Drosophila melanogaster: one gene and its partner. The protein of the gene in region 1 interacts with the protein of each later gene in a biochemical or structural test. Each region holds a gene or a part of one and is shown in the gene's direction. Other genes may lie near its edges.

Region 1 (3,276 bases):
ATATAATGCACCCCACCGAATTGCGCAAAATAATAAACAGGTTTCCATTGCAAAAGGGAGAACCTTAAAACAAAGAAGCTCTGCGTAATGCGGGGCACAGCAATCAGACGGGGGCCAATTAGGGACCCTCTTAATGACCGTAAGGATAGCCAAAGGAACGAAACGACCGTTACAAGAAACTCGAGTCCTCGGAGCCGTTACAAAATTATGAAAGTAACCTTCGGGGGCAAGGGAAAAGGGCCCATAACAATTAGGAAGGCGACTCATAAACGAAGTGCCGACGAAATTCCACTAAAATGCGTAAACCGAGCCAAAAACCAAAACTCTGAAGATCCCTATCTGTACGTGCTTCTCCCGCGTCGAAAATTTTTCACGCATCAACAGAGCAGGTCCCTCGAACCGGGAAAGAACAACAATGACAAACAAATGCGATCGGAAGGAGCTGAAAAGGACCTGCCGAGATTTCCCGAAATGCGGCATTAATGCATATTGACTAACCTTGAGAGTCCGATCCCATCCCATTCCATCGCAATGCCAAGTACCCGAAAAATACGTTACTTTGCTCAACTACCTACAGGTTGGGAAAATAGGAAAAGGACGATCGGACGGAAGGACTTAGGGGCACTTTCTGGGCTGTCTCAATGAAATAACGGACAAGTCCCTTGTCCGTTTGGGTATTTCCAGCGGCGAGATTGTATCTCCGAGATATGCCAATCCATTGTTTGTCCATATCCTCCGTCTTTTTTCGGATAGTGTGTCGAATTTTAAAATCTCTCTTCCCTCACACTCTGTTATGGAATTTTTTCAACAAGTTTCGACTTGTCCGCTCGGTACTCTCCTGGAATTTTACGTTTGGGATTTAGGGACTTCTACTTTTCTTGCGACAGAGTCGAGCAGGTAAAGAGAGGTTGTGAGGCATGGTACTCTCAGAGGGGGCGAAAGATCGAGAACCGACCGAGATCTATGCGACTGTCAAAAAATCCGTTAAAAACCTGCAGTGAATGAGCAACTCGAGTGGGTAATACCCAGCATTTGAATCACGTGGGAAACATATGAAATTTTAAAGTAAATGACTTAGTATGGTATGCTATGTTCCAAAAAATAAATACCATTAGTAAAATACTAAATAATTGTTAAATATACAACGATCTCTTTGTATTTATTGTAATTTTACCGATGTACTTCCTACATACCTTAATTTAGCAGTGTGCTGTTAAGGAAAACTTTTTTTGTAAGGCTGTGCCGATCTTAATTATTTAATTTTAAATAGTTTTTAATTTAGTTGTATACCAAATATTTTAGGATACATTTTATTCTTGCTAGTCTTTTAAGTTTAATTTTAATAGAGTCCTTAAATATTGATATTTTTCATCAAGTTTATGATCTTATTACTATAGTTATTATAAATTCAATGAATTCAATTCAATTAAATTCAACCTTATATGGCCCCTTTCAATATTACTATTATAAATAATTTTTTTTAGAAAAAATACACTTAAAAGATATACACACAATAAAAACATATTAACCTTATTTTTCGTAAAATCTATTTTTTATGCACAGACTCAAAAATTCATCATACCCTGCTTTCTCAAGGGTAAGGACATGCTCCTGATTCCGAGACCGCTTTCTCTTGGCTCTCTTTTGTCTCCCGCTCTCACTGTTTGTGCAACCACCTGCAGGCAGTCTGCCTTCCCATTGGCTGGGTCCATCGATCGAGAGAACCGCCGCTCTGTGCGAGAATTCTCCCCCGCCGAGAGAAACCAAAGAGAGCAAATCGTATATAAGGAGTCGGTCGTGCAGCAGGAAAACCAGAATACTACCAACTCTCAACCGAGTGCAACCAACTAAGATCCCAAGTTTTATTATAAATCTCAACAATCCTCAACACAATGTCGTTCATCACACGGGAATACAAGTTTGAGAGCAGCAAGGTGATGGAGCCGAAATCAGATCAGCACACGATGGCCATGCGGAGTCTGAGGAAACTGGTCAAACCCCTTCTGCGACTGGTGAAGAAGAAGCAGCTACTCCGGAAGACTCTGGCCGAGATCCAGAACCAAAATGCAGTCAACGCCTCGCTGGAGGACATGCGCAAAGATCCGGCGGCCAGTTGCGATAACATGGCCAACGAGGAGCTGGAGCAGCGACTGTACACCGATCTCCGCCAGTGCCCCACCAACGTGGCCATGATCGTGCAGCAGGGTCAGCAACAGAGCATCGTGCCCGTCCATCCGGAGCAGACCTTCATCCCGGTCCACTTCGCCCGCACCACCAGCGGCACCTTCTTCTGGACCTCAGCCGAGGGAGCTCGCCAGCACCACGAACAGCAGTTGCGCCAGCAGTTCGACCGTTGGGTTCAGGCCTAAACATCGCCAGGATGCACAGTTCCACTTCTCGATGCACCGGGAAAAACTCCAATTGGCAGCTTTAAGTGCAAGTGTCTCCGTCCATTGGTCGTCGGATGGATGCGGGTTCAGCTTCGCATGTTCGTAATCTCAGGGTGATATTAGGCATAGATTGGATTCTTTGGGCTCGCGTCCCAAGGGAAACACAACTCTAATTGATATTCAATTATCACAATCAAGCGTTACTATCGTTAACTCATTGTGATTTATCGTGTCTTATTAGCCTTAAGTTAGTCTTAGCCGAATCATTGTCTTCCATGTTTGTTTGTTAGGGTCTTCGTATAAGAATTAGGCTAAGAATCATTGTCTTCCATGTAAAACTTTAGCTATAAACACTAATATCATATAAGAAATAAATAAATCGAAAAAAGGAAATTCTAATGTCTCTTTATTCTGAAAACTGATATGAAATAATATGAATAAGGTTGGAAAAGAAAAATCCCAAATTGAATGACCATTGTAAGTATAGTTAAATTCGGCTACTCTGTACAATTCTGATTTGAAGAATGGATTTTAAATTGGACTCGCTATGCTGGTGAACACATTCCAATTAGTGACTGCATTCATTCCTGCTTGGAGACCATTTGAATCCAAAAATGCTGCTGGTAGGCAGTTGGAAATACTTCCGTAAGAACAATAAAGAATTTTATTTACATTTATATTTAGCCTGACCACAGGCTAATATAATATTCACCAAATATTATTTTTTGTCTTTCATACAATTTCTGCATCTGTTATCGTTAAAATATGATTTTTGTTTCAAATATACCTAATATATACCTTTGTAGTATATATGTATTTATTTATTTATTCTATTTATATTTCGAAAATATTGGTATAGTAAATATCATATCTTTTCATATCATAT
Region 2 (5,047 bases), on another chromosome or scaffold:
GGCTGGCTGGCTTCCTCTTTCTCCGCTTCGAAAATCCCTCTTCACCGTGTATCTGTGTATCTTTTGCTATGAATTTACACCTGGAATTGGCAAGCAAACAGAACGAAACCAATGGCAGGGGCTGCGCGGGGAAACGCACTACAGTAGAGCAAACCCTTTTCGGATCCTTTTTCCAACTGCAACCGCAGATGGACACCTTTCGTTGGTGATCATGATGGGTACAGTGGATATCGATAAGCGAAAAACTATGATACGCAATTATAATACATAAGTATTCATACATTTAAAAGAAAAAAAAGAAATGGTATCCTAAAAATAAGGTTGGTTTAGGGCTTGAAATAATATTGCAAGGATATTTACTCTGCATTTTTAATATTTCTACTTAACCTAAAGTCGATAAAAAATATTTCTATCCAATGATCACTGTATTCTTTGACAATTTTTGGGGTTGTTCGTTGGTCTCGATGTCTGCCGGTTCCTGTTTCGCCAACATCACCTTCTCCGACCTTTTTTGCATTTTTGCAAACTGAGCGAACAGGAGGGGGAAATCGGGTAAGCAGCAGCAGATGTATTTCCAGGACGCACGCCTGCTGCCAGGATGCTGAATATGCATTTCCACTTTAATATCAAAATTTAAATGCTTTCTGCCCCGTCTTGATCCCTTCCGATCTTGAAAATTGCATCTGCTGTGAGGTCTGCCCGGTTCCGTCTGTCGATGCAGGACAAAAAGGACGAGGATGAGGATAAGGAGCGCTCGGCGCAATTATCATCCTCCATCAATGGCAGCGTGGCATCCATAAAGGATAAAGGATGATCAGACGCCAGACGGCAGTTATCCTGCTGACCACAATGCTAAAGCTTAGCAAATGAGACCACAATAGCATGTGTCCCAGATCATAGGTACATTTTTTTAAATTCTGTGTAAGCTAATGGTTTCAAAACTGGGAATTGAGTTACAAACTTTCCATTTCATTTTATAATCTTTATAGTGCAAACTTAAAAAATCAAAACAAAAACAAATCTCGTTTCATATTCTCTATTAAAATAAATTGCACATACAAAATGGACAATTAAATGTGCCGAAAACAATTGGGAAAAGAAGAAATTTATTATTATTATCAAGAAACGTTTGGGAATTTTTTTTAATTCCCATGGAATTACTCCATACATACTCCAACTGAGTACATACATACACACATATGTATGTACGTGTGATATTTGGCCCACAAAGTTCACGATCAAAAGCATTAGGGCAATTGAAATAGTTTTCTAGTTATATGAGCCAGACCTTGTAAACCCTGCGAAAAAGAAAAAGAATTGCTTTGAACCTGGCTGAACTACACACACACTAAGGTGAGGAGAATAACTGTTAGTGAAGATCAGAGCACTATGGCCAAAATCCCAAATGCAGGCCTAGAGCAACAACAACAAGAAGCAGGAAGAGCAACAGCAGGAGAAGATGTGGAGGAATCCCTGATCAAGGTGCAGAGTTAGAGGCATAAAGGTAAATTATAAGGGAGGCTCTATACACGCGAATAGCAGGCACAAAGCGAAACCATAGTAAATAAGAAACAGCTGCCAGAGAGAGAAAGAGAGCGATGGCGTCTCATAATTTTCTCTCTTGAGCTCTCTTTTTCGCTCCATCCACGCTCAGGGCTGACAGCCCTTAGCCAGAAAATGGATAAATTTTAAATTATTTGAATAGATTGCTTACAAATTATAAGTTTAAATAAATTGAAGCATTTTTAATGTAATTTAGTTACCGTTTCTTGATTTTAATTAAATTGTAAAACAGGAAATGTTATTCAAATCTACAGCCCAAATTGTCACTAAACGTTAATAGTAATTATAAAAAACTTAAATTTCCAAATATGTCTTACTGGCATACCTAAACTTCTAAATATCTTGAAAACATATACTAAAAAAAGCCAAATCTGACGGGAGAATTTCTGCGCGCCAGTACTATCCGTTACTCTCCAGCTGAGCTGCGTCAGCGACGTCGCGCTGGTGCGAAGCTATAAAAGGCTGCACCACCGTTTATTTGTTGAAAAAAAACTCAGCGAAAGGTTGTCTCGAAGTTGTCGTCGTCGGTCTTTGTGTTTCGTATCGTTTCGTTTCGTTTGTTCCCGTTGCGCGCAGACAAACAACCAACCAAATTCAAAATGTTTTAACGGAAAACATTCAAATTCGAAGAAGAACTCTATCGCTTAATTTAATGCCAAATAAAATACGCAAGCAGCTTGTGCATTTTCATTAGCATTACGCGTGTTCGTTTAGTTCGTCTGTTTTAATTTAAATAACGAAATAAGAAATAATCCACTACCATGGGTCTATCGGATATACCAGCCAACTATATGCAGGGCAGCCATCCGCACCTAACTCTCCATCCGCAGCAGCAGCACCACCAGAATCAGCAGCACTTGCAGCATCTGCAACAGATGCAGCAGCTGCACAACGCCATGCCCACTCCCGCCCAGCAGGCCGCCCAGGTCCTGGCCATGGAGTCCAACGAGCTGCTCATGAGCACCAAGGACAAGCTCTCTAGCAAGAAGAAAATGCACTTGCTCAAGAAGATCAAGAAGCGCTTTGGATTGGGTTAGTAGTCGCATTAGTACCAGGCTAAGAATCGGGCTAAGGATATCGATGGATATATTAACAAGAATATTCAGTTAATTTCCAAGTCGTTTTTCAAAGGACGTACAATTCTCGGAATATCCAGGAATAATTTTTAAAATCAGTGTGATTGGGTTCTAAAGTAGATGTAGTACATTTTAACAATATAAAACTTCCTTCGTGATATCTGACCATTAAAGTCTTGAAGCAAATGTAATTACCGCGTGCGAAAATGCCTTAAATACATTATTCATCGATCTGGGAATCGTATTTTTATCTCCAGCGATATTCCCACATAATATTAGCATGTGGTCTGACCTATCGCTCTTTCATTCATTCGGTTAATTAAAGCGGCAAGATAAATAAGCGAGAAACACAGCCAGCCGCAATCATTTATGCATACATTAGCATTTTACGTCTCAAGAACAATAACAAATAACGAAAGATAAGAGCAAAAACCGAAAAAGTTTGAGTTAGTTTAAAACAAAAAGCTAATGAATAAATGCTCACCCAGAACACGCCCAGTTTGCGATTATAATAGTAATTGTTTTTTTCCGACTAGATAGACACAAAAGAAGCGCGAAAAAATCTTAAATGTGAAATTCTCTCAAGGCTTTTTCGGCAGAATTTAACATCGACACTCCGACTTTTTCGCCGGAAATGTCAGTTCTCGAAAACTGAATTTTTCAATCGCACCCAAGTAACCGCAAATTGATCGAGAAGACCAGATCGGAGGGATCTTGAGTTGAAGAAAATACCACCAAAAGCAATTTTCCCAAGGAGCGATTATGTTTATCATAACGATTATCTGGGCTGGGGAATTTGTTGCGCTGTTTTTGTTTTGGTTGCAAGCAGCTGAGCTAAGGAAAGACAAAAAAAAAGAAGTAAAAACAACAAATCACCTTTTTTTTTTGACTTTGGCTCAATTGCATTCTCGGCTTCAATGCTCTCTTTTTTGGCCAAAGCAGGCGAAGCAAAAGCAAAGCAAAGCCAGTGACGCATAGGCTAAGCTTCTACCCCTTTTTTTTTTATTTTTACTGGCCTCCTACGAACAATTGTGGTCGCACAACTAGCAGTCGAATATCAACGAACGACGCAATATGAATAATAAAAAAAAGTTATTAATTTAGTCCTTCAGCACTGGAATAGTTTTATTTGTCAAAAGTGGCTATGCAAAATATTGTACTGTATTTAAGAGATTCCATTTTTCCCGCCACCACTGTTTTTGCATCTGCCTCATTCAGTATTGCTTGTTGTTGTTGCTGTTGCCTTTCGGGGAATTGTACGCGAAGCGCCGTTGCCGCCATCGGCAAAAGCAAAAACAAAGGTAGCAACAACAGAAAAGCAAACGATCCACGGCAGGAGAAGAAGAGAAGAGCCATGGACTAGCGGGATGAGAAGAGGAAGAGGCGTGGCTTTGAAGCTTGAGTGTGTTTGGAGTTTTTATTTTTCTGCTGAGCGCTTAAGCCCGCAATGGTTTATGTTTTATGCGGCGGCTCCAGTCCGTTTGTTTTGAACGTGCGTTGCCTATCGGTAATCAATGAAATTGCTTTGTTGTTGTTTTGCTCGGCGTCAGCTGCTTTTGCTTTTTTGTACCTGCATTTTCTATTACATTTCGTACCTTGTTTGTTGTTGTTATTATTATTGTGTGTTGGCATGCCACGTTTGCTTTGGCTAAAAAGTTTATCTGCTCTTGGCTTTTACTTAGCTTCTCACGGTTTACTTTTCGAAATGGTTTGCTTGGCCGTGCGTGTGCTTGCAACTGAGCACTGCCAACTCGTCTTTGAGACCCCGATTATGGGACACACAAATACAAATTGTCGCCCGACCTTCGATTGTTGGCCAAAAGTAAATAGTCAATTGTTAATGACGGTACGCACCCCCCAAGGAAGTTTGTACATATAAGTACATATCTAAGTACAATGTTGGTCACCATAAATATACATACATTAACTTCTGAGACCTAAAATGTTATTCTATTAAGTTCAAAATATGTAAGTCGCCGCTTAAAAACAAATTTCTGTAAACATAATGTTTAAGAGACATTTTGCTAATATTGCTTCAATATTAACATATTATTGTTGATTTCCCAGTAAGCCATTTTCTGTTGAGCACAGTTGTATGCTGAGCATTTTCGCTACATACATCTGTTGCTATATTTTTCCACTTTCATGCATCCCCTTCGTTATTTTTTCACTTATTTTTCTCCCCCTCATGAGGTCATCATCTCGATGTGTCATTCTGAAGTTTGCGTATAGTTATTGTAGTATAGTATAGTTCATATAGCTGATATGAAGCACTGCTTAATTTCGCGCTTTGATAACGGACACTGCGAAATGTTATCTCTACAAGTGTAAACGTTTTGCAACTGATTAACTATAAATACCAGTTGTTAACTATTGGGGATATACACAAAGATGCTTGTGCTAACTTT

What was found. Proteins that work in one complex are often made in the same cells at the same time.
Region 2: the proteins of Tom (region 1) and neur form a complex in vitro, tested with the Drosophila melanogaster proteins (one study listed by BioGRID).

Annotation. Positions count from the first base shown.
Region 1 is NT_037436.4:14,967,535-14,970,810, forward strand, and holds Tom (twin of m4), read left to right. Parts: upstream 1-1,809; 5' UTR 1,810-1,892; coding exon 1,893-2,369; 3' UTR 2,370-2,772; downstream 2,773-3,276.
Region 2 is NT_033777.3:9,030,727-9,035,773, reverse strand, and holds the start of neur (neuralized), read left to right. Parts: upstream 1-2,042; 5' UTR 2,043-2,324; coding exon 2,325-2,595; intron 2,596-5,047. UniProt on the Drosophila melanogaster protein: Involved in neurogenesis. Interacts with other neurogenic proteins in the specification of the neuroblast versus epidermoblast cell fate.